Linked DNA regions of Drosophila melanogaster. The protein of the gene in region 3 interacts with the protein of the main gene of each other region in a pairwise test. Each region holds a gene or a part of one and is shown on either strand. Other genes may lie near its edges.

Evidence for each region. Proteins that work in one complex are often made in the same cells at the same time.
Region 1: the proteins of brp (region 3) and RhoGAP100F interact in a two-hybrid assay, tested with the Drosophila melanogaster proteins (one study listed by BioGRID).
Region 2: the proteins of brp (region 3) and cry interact in a two-hybrid assay, tested with the Drosophila melanogaster proteins (one study listed by BioGRID).

Annotation. Positions count from the first base shown.
Region 1 is NT_033777.3:31,810,837-31,815,662, forward strand, and holds the start of RhoGAP100F (Rho GTPase activating protein at 100F), read left to right. Parts: upstream 1-1,772; 5' UTR 1,773-2,990; intron 2,991-4,826. Other genes in the region: FeCH (ferrochelatase), read right to left, coding at 1-104, 164-485, 541-642, 905-1,283, 1,338-1,374. UniProt on the Drosophila melanogaster protein: GTPase activator for the Rho-type GTPases by converting them to an inactive GDP-bound state. Promotes the anchoring of Liprin-alpha clusters at synapses. Recruits and keeps Nrx-1 levels high in active zones in the presynapse opposite the postsynaptic region.
Region 2 is NT_033777.3:19,210,531-19,215,996, reverse strand, and holds cry (cryptochrome), read right to left. Parts: upstream 3,844-5,466; 5' UTR 3,657-3,843; coding exon 3,515-3,656; intron 3,439-3,514; exon of another isoform or gene 3,270-3,438; intron 2,514-3,269; coding exon 2,170-2,513; intron 2,014-2,169; coding exon 1,094-2,013; intron 858-1,093; coding exon 635-857; 3' UTR 555-634; downstream 1-554. UniProt on the Drosophila melanogaster protein: Blue light-dependent regulator that is the input of the circadian feedback loop. Has no photolyase activity for cyclobutane pyrimidine dimers or 6-4 photoproducts.
Region 3 is NT_033778.4:9,502,012-9,506,818, reverse strand, and holds the start of brp (bruchpilot), read right to left. Parts: upstream 3,055-4,807; 5' UTR 2,974-3,054; intron 1,816-2,973; 5' UTR 1,351-1,815; intron 1-1,350. Other genes in the region: Wnt2 (Wnt oncogene analog 2), read right to left, coding at 3,780-4,092, 4,310-4,497, 4,563-4,807.

The DNA.
Region 1 (4,826 bases), on a different chromosome or scaffold from region 3:
TCGTCGCAGTACTCGATGTCGAGCTCATGCAGCGTCTCGATGTGCTCGTTCACGAAGGCAATGGGCACAAGGATGAAGTTCTTCAGGCCTTGCTTAACATAGCCCTGTAAAGATGGGATTGGTTTTAGTGGATGGGAATGGAAATCCGGCATTAAAGTTACACCTTAATGGCATCATCAGTTGCGGGCGCCAGCCAGGGTAGCGGGCCCACCTTGGATTGCCATGCCAGGCTGTAGGGATTCGTCTGACCAAGTTCCTGCATCACCATGTGTACGCTAGCACCAATCTCCGAGGGATACGCGTCACCCCGGTTCACAGCCTTAAGGGGAAGGGAGTGGGCAGTGAAGAGGATGACCACATCATTTCGTTTCGTTTCCACAAATTTGGCCAGCTCGTCGCGAATTCGCTGGGCAAACGTTTTGATTAGAAGTGGATGAGTGCCCCACCTGTCGATAATGCTCCATTTGATATCCGAGGGCAGATTACTAAAGAGGTAGAGGGGATCAAATAAATAGCTGCAATTGTGCATTTCTAACTCACTTGCTCCGATAATGAGTAAATATGGAGTTAAAGCTGGATCCGGAGGTGGCGCAGCTGTACTGTGGATATTGTGAAAAGAGTACAACGCGCTCTGGTTTGTCCCTGTAAATATGTTAAAATATTAACATGTATTCTTTAAGTAGCGCAAATGACCATAATTTCCAGGTTTAGGTTTCAGTAATTTGTCCAAGAAGTCAACTGATAATAGCAGGACATTGAAACATGCATAAGAAGTCAGAAGTCTATACAAACTTATTTACTAGAACATATCTTATTGTGAGAGTCCGTAGCAATATATATAGGTCAATTTCACGACCTTCGGATTATTTACATCACTCTTGTTCTACTTCTCGACTACACTCACTTTTCGATCTCGGCCAGCGTGTTCTCAGTGAGGGGATTCACGTAGCGGAAACCGACGTAGTGCTTGTGAGGTGCTGTCTCCGGGGAGATTCTGTCCAACTGCTCGCACATGAGCTGGCCCTGCAGCTCGGTCCACTTAAGAATCGGTGAACCACCGCCGATCTCCTTGTACTTCTTCTGTACCTCGGGCGTCCTGCGCTGGGCGATCCACGGACCAAGACGGCTCTGCACCGGCAGCTGGATCATGTCCCGGTCGGTCATAATACGCAGGAGGTAGTCATGCACCTGGTCCGTGTGGGTCGGACCGCCCATGTTCAGCATTAGGATCGCGGTCTTCGGTTTTTGGCCGCTCAGGTTGCGCACTCCTCCTGCCAGACCACCTGTTGGGGAATATGTAGGAATGTCGTGGGAACTGTATCCACTCGTATACTCACTTGCCAGTCTGCAAAACTTTGTGTTATGCAAAAACATAGTTCCTTTTAAATTGACCCAAATTGATGGCACCGGTGTCGAATAGTGTTACCAGTTGCTAAAATAGTTTAAATACCAAAATGTATGATCTCACAGATTCTAGAGTTTTTCCAAACGTAACAGAGTTCTGTAAAAAGTAACCGTCACGCCATCTATGTGTGTAAAATAGCTGCCAACTATTACTCAACAGTAATCTAAATATTTAAAAATTTTTCCTTTTGTTACACATTTACCATTTAATTTCTCTTTATTGAAACCGAAACCAATATTTGGTATATACTGTTCTTCAAGCGACCAACAGAAATTTTTCGCGCATGCGTCCTTATTTCTTTCCCTTGTCATCAACGCTGCGTGCAACGGTAAAAGCTGACTGTGGTGCAGTCTCGCTCTTGCACGCTGCATTTCGCTCTCGTCGCTTGCTGCGAGTGTTTCGTTTCCTCCGATCAAATAATATTTTGTAGTTTTTCCACCGAATGCAGGCACAATTGCTTCGTAAAAACGCAATAAAAGGCGCGGCCCATGGTCCGAAAAGATAAGAAAGCTTGAAAAACAACCGAAAGTGTCGTTTAACATCGGAGAAAAGCAAAAGGACAAGCGGCGCAGCACAGTGAAAAAAACGTAGGAAGTTTTGGAGTGAGTGAGAGGGAAGGAGTTCCACCGCGGTGGTGGGTGTACGTGCGCGAGTATTGGTGATGTGTCCATGTCCGTGTTATCGCCACCAGCATTAAAGTGCTCCAATTCGTGGCGCACGCGCAGAATAACTAGCGCTCTCTTGCTCTCTTTCTCGACTTAGAAGAGGAACAGGATATTTTATTATACTGAAATTCCTACTCAGGAAATTCGCATAGTTGCGAAAGCTTCGCGCTGCCACACGGACGCATTCCGCTACGGGTTCCCCGCACCACCCACACACTCTCACACCCGCCTGCCGCGAGCCCACACACCGCGCCCGCAAGCACTCTCGCGCACAGATCAATGAAAAGGCCAAAAAATAAATTGCACCTTTTCCGGGAACCAAAAACATGTTGAAATTATCTCACAAGTTACGCAAAAAATGCCGCAGCAAAAAAGTTGCATGGGATGCCGTGAATGCGACGAAAGTGTGAAACGAAACGAAAGGCAACGAAAGACGGTGCAGAAAGGAGCAAAGAGAGGCTGCAAGGATGTACTGCTTCTCAAAATCCCAAGCCATTGACCACCGAATCAGCGATAAGTCTCTAACAACAAAAACCTGCACCTAGCCAATTGCATTTTGCATTCGCATTCTTACTGCCCCGGAAGTAAAAGCAGCTTCAGCGGAAATTAAAACCAATCAAAGCCGAAATAAAAGGTAACGCTAGCGAGCGAAAGAGATAGACATTTTTAGAGAAAAAGAGAGAGCAAGAGAGAGCTACCATAGAGAGCAAGTGCATCCTTTTCACAACGCGGCACACATTTACGACCGGTGACTGCAACTAGCCCACTCCCATACCTCCGCCCCTCTTCAACCCGACCCCAGTTGTCCCTTGCAATTTGTGATCTCACGTTTTCATAACTTGGGCAGTAGCCGTTGGCACGGATTAGACGCAAAACGTCAAGCATTAGGACGTCAGGAGAAACGCAGTTCCACAGTGCAGGTGAGTTTTCAACAAAGGGACCTATCCAGGAAACTCACTGGCGGCTATGCATTTAGTTAATTAAAAAACTATTTGAAGGGTGAAAAGTCCATCATAGGAAATGACCTTGTCGCTATCAAATTCGGCTGTGCTTGATAAGGCTCCCACAACTCGAATAAGCGATCATTTGTGGCAAGTGTGATTATGCGCAATTTTCTGTTAAAACAAATCCTGTTTCCAGAACTTCTAATGCTTTGTTGGTTAGCGTTATTTTGCCTTTTACTAAAAACCTTTTGAAAGAAAAGGAAACGTCTTCTGATAGGCTATCATCATTCATTGTAGTCATTGGAGGTGGAGGTTCCAATTTAATCGTAAGAAAACATGGCATATCGTCAAATCAATTCGAGCAAATGTAATATAAGCGGTGTCTATTCCAGCAGCAAATTATTTCAAGATCTCCTCTATTACACACAAGAGATGAAGATCTAGGATATATACGACTAGGTGAGAGGAACAGAAAGCAAAACATTTACCGCGACATTAACAATCAAAAATCTTGTTTGGACGCTTTTTATGCTCAAAGCCCCCATAACTTTTTACACCCCGAATCGCCCCTTCAGTCCGCCAAACTACCCCCAAGCTAAAAGCTTTGCTCCAATTTACCAGCAAACAGAGAACTTTGTGTGGAGCCCCATACCATACAAATAATTTAAAAAAGCTGAGCCGCACAACTATCTTAATTTTATGTTAGAACTAAAGCCCCTTGTATAAAAAAAATGATAGCAAGCCTCTTACGGTAGCCAAAAATGGATTTCCATAGAGACCATTAAAATCGCTTGGTACTTTTTGTTGTATTAATTTACGTTGTTATTTATTAACTTATTTTAAGGCAGTATTGTTCACATATAGAAAATCTTTAAACAGAAAGTTATTTTTAAAATTGCATATTATTTTGTTTGGTCCTTATGTGTGTGGTATAAGCCGAGCTGTAATACAACATGTGGATGGCGACTTCCATTCTGTGCAGCCATAATTCCATCTTTTTGATTCTGCCCTCACTAATTAGATAAATTCACAGTTTCCCCGCAACTTTGCTAGTTTTTATGGTTTCGAGCATATTTTTGGCATTTTAATGCGACTTCTATCCGTCGTCCAAATGGCGAGTTGGGAGCTCCAAATTCGGAGTTGCGAGTTTCTAGTTGCGGGTTGCTGGTGGCATGTTGCACAGTCGTCAGGTGAGTCAGCTGAGCACCGGCAGAAAGGACCACATGGCGCGAAGCGACTGCACTGAAAATTGGGGTTTTACCATGCAGATAATGGGATCCGATCTGAAAAGTAAATGATCGTAATATCGGTTGTCAAGAGCTGCGAGTCAGTTGTGGGGCCTTTTCGCGTTACAATTATAAGCTGAGCCGATAAATATAACTTCTAAAAGAAAGAGTATCCTTTTTTTGCCTCAGTGGGTGTGCAGTCGCATGAGCGTGCGGCAAAGCCCAGTGGGTGTGGGTGGGATGGTGGGTTTGCGGGTTAGGGTCCGACGGTCCCCAGTGGTGGGTCTGTGTTTCTTCTTTCGATGTATATTCCTTTGTCGGGTGCTACTAACCAGTCAAAGTGTGGAAAAGGGACTCATGGGGATGTGGCGTTGTGGATAAACTTCAACGCAGCAATAACCATACCAAACCAAATAATGCCATGATGGGGTTACAACTGAGCCCAAAGAGGGAAATCGATAAATCTGCCTGTCGTCATTGTAGCACTGCCTCAAGTAAAAATAATTTTAAAGTTTAAAATTCATATCGATATCTTATTAAATTCGGTTTTCACTATTTATGACAATTTCGTAATATTTGGATTCTG
Region 2 (5,466 bases), on a different chromosome or scaffold from region 3:
AAAGCTCGGCGTGGTCGAGTTTAGATTTTCTCAAACTTTATTTGTAGCAAACTGTCGAGGGACTCAAACTTCAACAATAACTCCTTTTAGGTCCCATCAACCCCTACCAATATCTCATTCGAAAGGCACACATCTAGAAGGAACACCAAAATTTAGGCATTAAAATAAAATATACACAACAATTTAGACAAATTATAAAGATAGAATCTCTCATTAAACGAAAGGCAAACGAAGCCAGGATCAATAGATCGACATAAAATAAATTTCAATATTTGAAATACTTCGCGTTCAATTTTTCTCGTATGAAAGACCCAATTAAAAGCAAAAACTATTTAATTAATGCTGTTAATTAACGTATAATTTGACAACGTAATACAGATGATAATAATAATTATATATATATACACCATAAACGATTTTTAAAATAAGCTGAATAAAATTGATATATGAGTAACACGTTATAAGCTGTTAAAAGTAAAACGAAACCAAATAAAACGGATACAAATTGTATTGTAGTACTTATTTTAATTGAAGAAAATAAAGCATTATTAATTATATATAATATTTCACTGGTAATAGTTTCTTTATTGTGAAATCGAATTAAAATTGGATTGGTCATCCCACTTGTACTCCTTCAAACCACCACGTCGGCCAGCCAGAAGAACTGACGCACTTCCTCCTCGTTGGATGGTCGGCAATGCGGCGGCGGGGTGATCAGCGAATTTCGGAGAGACTTCATGGCCAGCATGTTTCGCTTTACGGCCATGGACAAATCAATGATCCGCTCCGGATAATGGACTCCGATCAGGCACTCGTACTGCTCCTGCTGCTCGGCAGACATTCGCCAGGGCTCGTGACTGAAAATATAAAATGGGATTTATAATTTAAAAAATATAACAAAAGCACGAATAAACGAATTAAAAATATATATAGTTCAAATGGTTGCTTGAGATTGTTGAACACTTTAACGAATCATAAGTAAAGACGACAAAGGAGTCATCATATATTGCGTATACGACAAGTATACCATCAGTATTTTTATTATATCTAAGTACTTAAATTGTTATATGGAATTTTCATTATATAAACTTACACAAATTCCTTGGGCACATTCATCAACTCCGGGACGTACTGCTTGATGTAGGTGCCATCCGGATCAAGTCGCTTGGCCAATGCCACCGGGCAGGTGACCAGGGAGGAGTCCAGCAGCCTTTCAAACGCCGAGCTGGATACCCACATCCAGTTGCCAGCGCAGACCGACCAATCCGCATCCAGCAGATACTTCAGAAAGTGCTGCAGTCCATGCTCCCAGCTCTGCCACAAACCGCCGCGCGTGAGAAAGGTGGCCACGGTGTTGCGCAGCGTATGGTGGAGCCATCCCTCGGCCAGGAGTTGTCGCATGGCGCCGTCGATGAGCGGGAATCCCGTTTGGCCTAAACGCCAGCTCTGCAGGAGATTTTCGTTCGGCTTAGCCCACGGGATGCTCAGGCAGATGTCATTGCCCTCCATGCGATCGTAGTTTGGATTGTTCACCGACATGGTGTAGAAGTACTCTCGCCAGATCAACTGTCCCGTGATGTGCGCGCCGCCAGTCATCTGAACGCCCCGCACACAGGCGCGCAACTGGACATTCTTGAAGAGATCGTGGACGCTCCAGTAGAAGCGACGTACCGAAAGGCAACCAAAGCGCAGATGGGCGCTCATCGATTTTGGCGAGTCGTGGATATTGGGCAGTGCCTGGTTGGGCAGATAAAATCCACGCTCAAACGCATGCTGCTCCACTTTAAGACGCTCATCCAACAGAAGTAAGGCCTGTGTTTCTCCGCCGCGCCAGTTAATCTTGGCCAGGAAGCCCATGTTGTCTCCATACACATTGAAGTGCTCCGGCGTGGGCAGCTGCTCGAACAACTTAAGACTTCGGCAGAACTCGGGGTCCAGCTCGACAAAGGTGGCGTCTTCTAGTCGAGCATCGGCGGTGGGACGCGGTGGAAGCCCAATAATTTGCACCGTGTGCTAAAACATAATAAAATAAACGAAAATATAATTTGATGTAAATAATTAGTATCTTTCAGTGACTATATAATTTTCAGATAGTTATATTTTTACATTTATTTTAAAGATATATTCTCAAAAGAATATTATAACTAGAGAACTGAGCTTTAAACTCACCAGGAACATTTGGTAGGTCAGCGGTGGAATGCCACCATTGGTCTCAATCACCAATTGCGGATCCCAAAGCGTGTGTGATACCTTCTCGACAAAGTCGATATTCAGCTCCCGACATAGAGAACGGATGCTTTCATCGCGCTCATTCCAAATTGGCTCGCAGTCCTGCTCTATGCAAATCCTGTGCAGACGCACTTGCTCATGTAGCCGGCGGAAGATATAAGCCGGTTCGCCCTCGAAGACCAGGAGGCGTCCACGTCCATCAGTTGCCGCCTGTAGCTGATCATCGATGTCCTGCAACGAGTCCAGGAGGAAACGCATCCGATTGTAACCCACATTCTTGGTACCTGTTAAGGAAGAGCATTTAACGGTTTTATAAGATTTATAAATTTAAAAAAAATTATGCATTTTCAAAGTTTTTTCGTGCACAATTTTCGCAAAACTAGGAATTCAAAACAAGTTTGTGTGTTTAAGTGCCACCTTTTAGATAAATTTTCAGCTTTTGTGCAAACAAATGGTTCAGTTTAGCCCATTTTCCATTGTAATATTTGTTTTCACGCTTTTACCCACAAAACGACGCTTATCGGTCAAGTGATGGGTTCTATAGGTATCCCCGTTTCTCGCCGACTTTTTCCGTGAGCGAGCTGTTTAAACACAAGCATTATACTGCTATTCTGGTTTGCACTCAATGTCTCTACCCATTTTGCATTGTCTTTCTATATCTCTCTCCCAGCGATTCGACGGAAAATTCTCAAAACCGCCAGCCACAAATGGCATTAGGGCGCATCGTTTGTTTTGCTCTACCATGCAAAAGTGCATTAGGTTTTCCCTCCATTTTCCGCCCCTGCAGCTCTCGCCCTCTTTCCATTTTCACAAGCAGCGAAAACGCTGAATTCGCAGCGGTCGCGGAAAGAGGTGGTATGTGATAACCGATGCAAGTCGCAAAAAATGATATTAGCTCATACGGAGAATGAGCGTGTAATAGCAATCAAACTAAAAGTATTTATTTTAACCCTCTGTTGCCAACGGTTTTTTATTTTAATTTTGTTGAATTTTCAAACTCTTTCCAAAAATCTATTTTTACACAAACTTCTGATGATTTTGTATGAGCAAATATATATAGATATAATATTTTATCTTTGATGTTTTGCTATCTATTAATTATTTTAAGATTATCTTAATATTTTAAATATATCTCCATGAGATATCCATATCTCATATAAAAGTTTTGAAGTAATAACTTAGGAAAGTGCAAGGTAAGTTCAAGGTTACCTGTAATCAATTTAATTTGGATACCTACATGTATGTGTGCGCAACGAAATAAAATTTTCGAAAACTCAGTTCTTACCTGCACTCTCTCCATCGAATATGAAAACGGGAATTAGGGCTATACCCTGATCCTTATCGGCGAGGGCGGCCAATAGAGCGGGATTATCATGGAGGCGCAATCCATGGCGAAACCAAATCACATTCGCCCCTCGCGTGGCCATCAGTGAGGAGTTCCCTGCTTTTGGGCTTCAAAAATCTCCCGAATCCCAGTTTTGATCGGGAAGAACAGTTTTCCAGCTGATGAAAAGATTTTCTTTTTTCCGCACTCACGATTCGCTCGCGCCGGCAACTAATTGACGAATGAGAATGTGAATGCGAAATTTGAGTGCTGAGAACGTTTCTACAACTGCAGCTCAACGTTCCCCGTGTTCGGCGTTATAAGCTAAAATGAATCGCATAAGTACGGTGAGTGCAACAGAGATGGCGAGAAAGAGACCTGTGGGAACCGCACACTGAAAAAAAGTACTTACTTCCATATATTATATATATTATAACCAAAGTTTAAGTTGGGCAAAACCAAACGCAGGCTAAAACTAAGAGTGTTCTATAACATCCAAATATCGTTTTTGTTTTTGTTATTGTTTATATTTTGAATTTCTATGCATATTTAGTATTAAAACTCGTTATAATGGCTGCGAGAAAAGATTCGAGAGTTGATAAGGATTTTGCGGACATGCATATTTTCTCCCAGTGTAGAAGCGTGTACTGTGAATCGGTAACTAGAAACAGCCCGTTCAAGTGCGTCAATACAAAGCTGTCGATCTGTATGTGTGTGTGTGTGTGTGTGCGAAGGGGCGACTGTGTGCTTGGGTGCTTGTGTGAGCATAAGTGTGGCACTCTGCCCACGGTTGCCTGCACTTCTAGCTCTGCGCCGAGAACGAGCCGAGCCCCCACCCCGAATCGACCCCCAGCTGACTGTCCCACCCCTTCTTCCCTTCGCTCTCACAGTGGGGCACTGCGTTCTGAGCACACAGAACCAGAAACTGAACCCAACTGTTGCCGCTTATGACGTGACGAGCTTTTGCAAGCACTCAACTCTGCAGTGGGATCGAGATGGGCTGTTTGCATGCTTATACTTATCACTTTGAAGTAATAATTACCTATTTGGGTATATTTACTTGGTTGTTTATTATGAGTAAATACATTTAAGTTTAAATAGTTATAAGATTTATTGATTATTTGATTTGTGCTGTGCAGACATTCATTTGTAAAGCAAGTAAGTATCGCCCTAACTACAAAAGTAGGTTAGCCCATTCCTGGTTAGTTCTTCTACAAATTATACTGGAAATAGCTATTTTGGTAAGAAAAAGATGAAGATGGAAGATGAGCAATTCTAGATACCAGTATTCTCCTATCAATATTTCGAAAAACCAAATACACTTGAACATATAATAGAGTAGCTAATATTCGGTAGTGACGCACTTTTTGGTTATGGTCCTGCATTGGCATAGTTAGTTAACCCGAGCATGGGCCACAGCTCCTTTGCCAACTTTGAGTGAGCTTTTCCCCCATAAAAAAAAATCCCCGCACGTCGAATACCCAACATCGCTGGACAGTCCCAACGAGCCTTATTGTGAGTAAACTACGCACTTGCATCACAAAAACTTTAGCATTGCACATTGCATGTTGCCTAGACAACGACAACGACACCGACAGCAGCAGCAGCAGCAGCAGCAGCAGTAAAAACAAGAACAAGGACCAAATGGAGGCAACGTGCGTAACGGAATGTCAACTGCAAAGCTCGCCGATGCACGTGTCCTGGCAACAACAACAACGACAGGCGCTGCTTGCAACAATCGGGCGAGGAATTCAAATGATGACGACGACGATGATGAGCCTTCTGTGGCTGGACTATGGCCAAAACCAGGATTATAAGGGGGCGGGGGAAAGGAACAGTGGCAGAGGCAGAGTGAAACAGGGTCAAATGAACAATGAAGTGAAGTCGAAAGGTTTTGGACAAAAGAATTTTTC
Region 3 (4,807 bases):
AATGGGGACATAAAAAGATGGAGGAAGCGCAGCAGATGAGGTCAGGATATGGCAGACAGGCCATAAAATATCAGGCCCAGATTCGATTACATCGCCATGCCATTAGGGAGCCCCAGGCAGTGCACTTTGCTGGGCAAACATATCCAGATATATACTGCCATACTGCCAGATGTATGTAGATGCGGAGAGCGGGAGACGGATTGCACTTCTAGCTGCATACTTGGGGGACCTGGAGCTGAAGCTGAAACTGGAAGCCACTACGATTGTTGTCCGTCCGGAGGCCATCTTATCAGGCTATCTGCTCCGGGGGCCTCCACCCCAAAACAAACATGTTGAATAGCTTCCGAAAAAACGAGAGGCGTCCCCGGAGAAAGCCGGAGAGAGAACTCACCACACTGGGAGGCTAGTGCGCAAATGCGTGCCATCTCACCAGCGCACTTCCCTTTCTCCTCTCGCCTTTCTCCGTTCCTCTGGCTGCTTTCTCCATTCGCTCCCGCTCACAACAATAGCGTCATCGTAAAATATTTGCCGTATTTTGTTGTTACCACTGCCCCAATATATGGATTGGCGGCGTTTTCTTCGCCCGCACACACACTGACTCTCACAACAGACACACACAGACACTGACTCAGACCACATGTAAAATAAGGTTGAAATTTGAAATCAATAAAAGTTATTCGGCTGATCTAAAATTAGAGCAAGCAACTCAAATAACAGCCGAAAGAAGTAAATAATAAAGGCAAACACCGCATCATTGACACGCAAAGGAGGTGATTGGGCCGGCCCCCAAAAAAGCTGAACAAAAAACTGACAAATCATGCGAGCAAATCGAATGCGTCGAGCCTGCCCCACAAGGCACCATCCACATATCTAATTATAAGTTTTCAAATTGCTTGCCAATCTCCGGATGATTGATTGATTGAACGGGGCGTATGGGTAATGCATGGAGAACAGACTAAAATTACTCGCTAAACTAAGTTACTCGACTACGTTCTAGGACTGCAACTAGGTCTAGATAATCGGGGATCGTATTTTATATTCAGCTGGACATATTCATCGGTAAAATCACAAGAAAGAAATCACAACAGATACGTACAGGAGATAAAGAAGTTACACAGAGAGAACAAAGGCAGGCACAAAAACAGATTACTTATAACTGATTACGATTAAATTATGGCGGCTCCTGTTACACAAGGCATACGCACAAATCAGAAATCAATATCGCTTATGGTTCACATCACAAATTGAAGTTTTTGCCGTGTTTCTTTGGTTGTGTGTGCGTTTATGTGTGTGTATCTCAGTGTCAGTGTGGGTGTCGTTACGTATACGTAATACGGTTAAATAGCTCACCCGCTTTGCTTAGGCGATGAATTTTGAATGATTTTCCTTAACGAACTGCGGGCGAATGAAAAACTGGCTAAGCTAGCTGCTGCTCCTGCTACTGCACCTCCTCGTTCGTTTAATCCTCTTGCTCCTGCTCCTGCTCCTGCTGCTGCTCCTCGACTTCCGCTTCCGGTTTTCAGAGCCCGCACACACTGACGCACTCGCGCTGCAACTACATGTGTGTGTGGGCGATTTGTTGCTCGTCTTTATGGCCGTTGCCAATGCAATGGTGCTGGTGACTGCGATTGTGATTGTGTTTGTGGTTGTTGTCAGGCGGCTCAATGGGCATTTCCGGTTCCGGTCGGCTAGCTGCTTGCACTAATTTAGTTGATGACACTGGCTTAGTTAGTTTGTTGACTTTCGTGGCGTGCGCTCGCTGGCTAATTGCATTTTGTGTTTATGATTTAAACGGCTTTTGTTTTATGTACATGGCTGTGTGGGAGGATAATTAAACCGCGTGAGTTTCCAGCTAAACTAATTAAAGTCTTCATTCACTGAGTGGGTTTTTTTGTGTTTCATTTATTTTTCCAAGTGGTTTGGTGGCTTCGTGCCCAACGAGGATATTTTTTACACTCGTTCCCGCTGACACACATTCGAGCCCAACACACACACACACACACACACACAGGCACAGCAAACACAGCGATACGGAGAGATAGGGAGTTGAAGAGTGCTCCGCAAAATGGAGTGGAGAGTGTTCTACGCACGAGTTACGCTCACGAACAACGTAAGGTTCGACGTAACGAAAGGGGATTGTGGGGGGAGTGGCGTGTGGCGAGGGGCGAGGGGCGGTGGAGCTGAGCGGGTGGTTTGGGTGGCTCAACATTATGCTGGCACCCCACCTTCCGTCACTTCATTCGCTCGGCTCTAGGCTCTGTTATACAGCTTATAGCTTTTCAAACTTAATGTCTCTTTGTAGGCGTATGCGTATGTGTGTGTGTGTGTGTGTGAGTGCGGTTTTGTGGGTGTGCGAATGCGAGTGTGTGTGTATAACTCGCATGGCTTATATGTAGGTTGAAGCAATTTATAATAATTTTTTTTTGCTTTCGCCCCAATCGATAGGCAGCGTTTAGTGGGACAGATGACTCCTTTTGATTGACAGTGTGTGTTTGTACGTTGGTCTTTCACACTGATATACTATACACAAATGCACATTTGTATATATATATACGTATAAAGGGTGTGTGTGAAATGGTTCCTTGAGTTTGTCACACGATTTTGAGCGCTATAGGCGGCTTTTTGGCCAGCTCGATTTGCTTTTAACTCGCTTTTTTCGCACTTTTTGCAGGAAATCACTTTTCTGTATCCAGGGAGCAGCCTCTAGCGCTAGTGCTGCCATTCACGCACACTCACTCACTCGCACACATACACACACACTAACGGGGACTTTATGCATTTGATCGAAGCACTTTTCGCCAGTCAATGGAATTTTCTCGCGCTATTCTTTCACTTTTCTCCGCTGCGAATGCAATTAAGTTGGACTTTTCTTGGCCTTATACATTTCTCGGCCAGATACATATACTGCGCGTGTGTGTATGTGTGTGTGCATGCGGGAGTGTATTGGTATTCGTGTCTATGTGTGTTCCTAACCCAAAAATGTATTGTGCGGCAGCTGAGGTGGCCCGTTTTCGGCAACGCCGTTGTCCAACTAACTACCCTCAAAGAACTGAGCACGGCTCGTGCAAGCCAGTTGCTAATATAGTCGCCGATTCGCTGGCAAGTGGTGAGTTTTCCAACTTTTCCTTACCGACCACCCTCTGCTTTCCTCCTGGCCTAGGCATAGGGAGAGCTAGCCGGAGAGCGCGCGATTGCAATCAATGAATTTTCCTTTCGGCGCTCGCGCAGTTCAGTGAGTGCTGGCATCTCGAGCTGCCAGCTTAATGGATTCCGGAATTCCAATACCAAAATATGGAGCCAGCGCATTGCGTTACGCTAAACGAATGTGGGTCTTACGTATTGCTCCACATTCAGCGTTGGCAATGCTGCGCGCCAACTATTCAAACCGCCCTCAAAATTAGACTATGAACTCGTTGGTTTTAGGAACAGTTTTCTATAAGAACAGATTATAGATTCTTAAAGATTTGGATTTCATTATTTTGGAAACTATTTTTAAGGAATAAGAAATCTGAAACAGCAGACTGAATGTATCAGCTCACCTAGATTAGCTTTTTTGCAGAAGGTTCTTTTCTAAGAAAACTTAAATACTTATTTGAATTATACGAACTTAATAATAAGACAGTATTCGTTGGGGATGTTAACTTGTTACGTTTATTCTGGAATGTGTCTGTATGGTGGCGCGGTGCGTATCTGCGGTTGTAATACATTTCTCATAATACTTAATCAACGCATTTCCTATGACATAGCCCTAGTTCTAGCGATATGCTCCCGCTACCCGTCTATTTACAGGTGAACTCCTCGTAGCTCTCGTCGCACTCGTCACACTTGACCTCGCAGCACCAGCGGAATTGGCAGCGGCACTGCGTGGTCCTTCGAATGTGCTGCGTGTTGTGGCCACGCCCACAGCAGAGCAGATCGCAGCTCTGGGGGCCGTGGCCGGTCCGCTGGCAGGTCCGACCTGAGGTGCCCTGGCTGCCCGTCTGCAGACTTCGCTCGCAGTAGTTGGGCGACGCCTCCAGGTAGATCAGCTCCATGCGCTTCGGCCAATCGAGGACCGGTTTCTGGGCACGAGCGGTGCCGGCATGCTTCTTTCTGCAAGAAATTAAAAGTGGAAAGAGGTATGTGTTAATATGTGGGATCGAAAATGTGTTGATATTATACCGTGCTACAGAAGGCACAGCAAACATATTGCATTTAAAAAGGACTTAATGACTACTATGTGTTTTATTCTTTTTAGAAGAATACTTATTTAGCCATTAGATTATTGCCTACATATCATGCAACATCTTGCAAGATTCCCATTTCTCACCTGCTTAATACTAATCTCAGTCCACGTTTGCCTTTGACGGCTTGAACAGTTTTGGCTTTTTGATACTTCAGCATGAGTCTATCGCCAACCAGTCGAAAGGGCGGCAGGCTCTTCCAGCAGGTCTTCATCACGCAGGAGCCACTGACGCCATGGCACTTGCAGTCCGTGCGCAGCATCTTCTTGACCAGCTGATAAGAGAAAAACATAACTATTAACTAGGCCATATTTATTATTAAATTTTATGCATGCGCACCGTTCTCCCTGCTCGGTTATTGTGCAGGTTCATCAGCGTGCGGGAGTCGCGCTCCAATTCGCGGGCATCCATGAATCTGCGCGCATACCGCATCCCAAAGTCCACGTCCGCCGAGCAGCCGCCCCACTTCCAGGGCTCGTCGGGCGTACCGCCGCCAGTGGGCGTGGCTTTGTGCCGCACATCACAGCCGCAGGTGGAGATGTTGCCGCGGGCACAGGCGGCGGTCACCGCGTACGCCGCTCCGG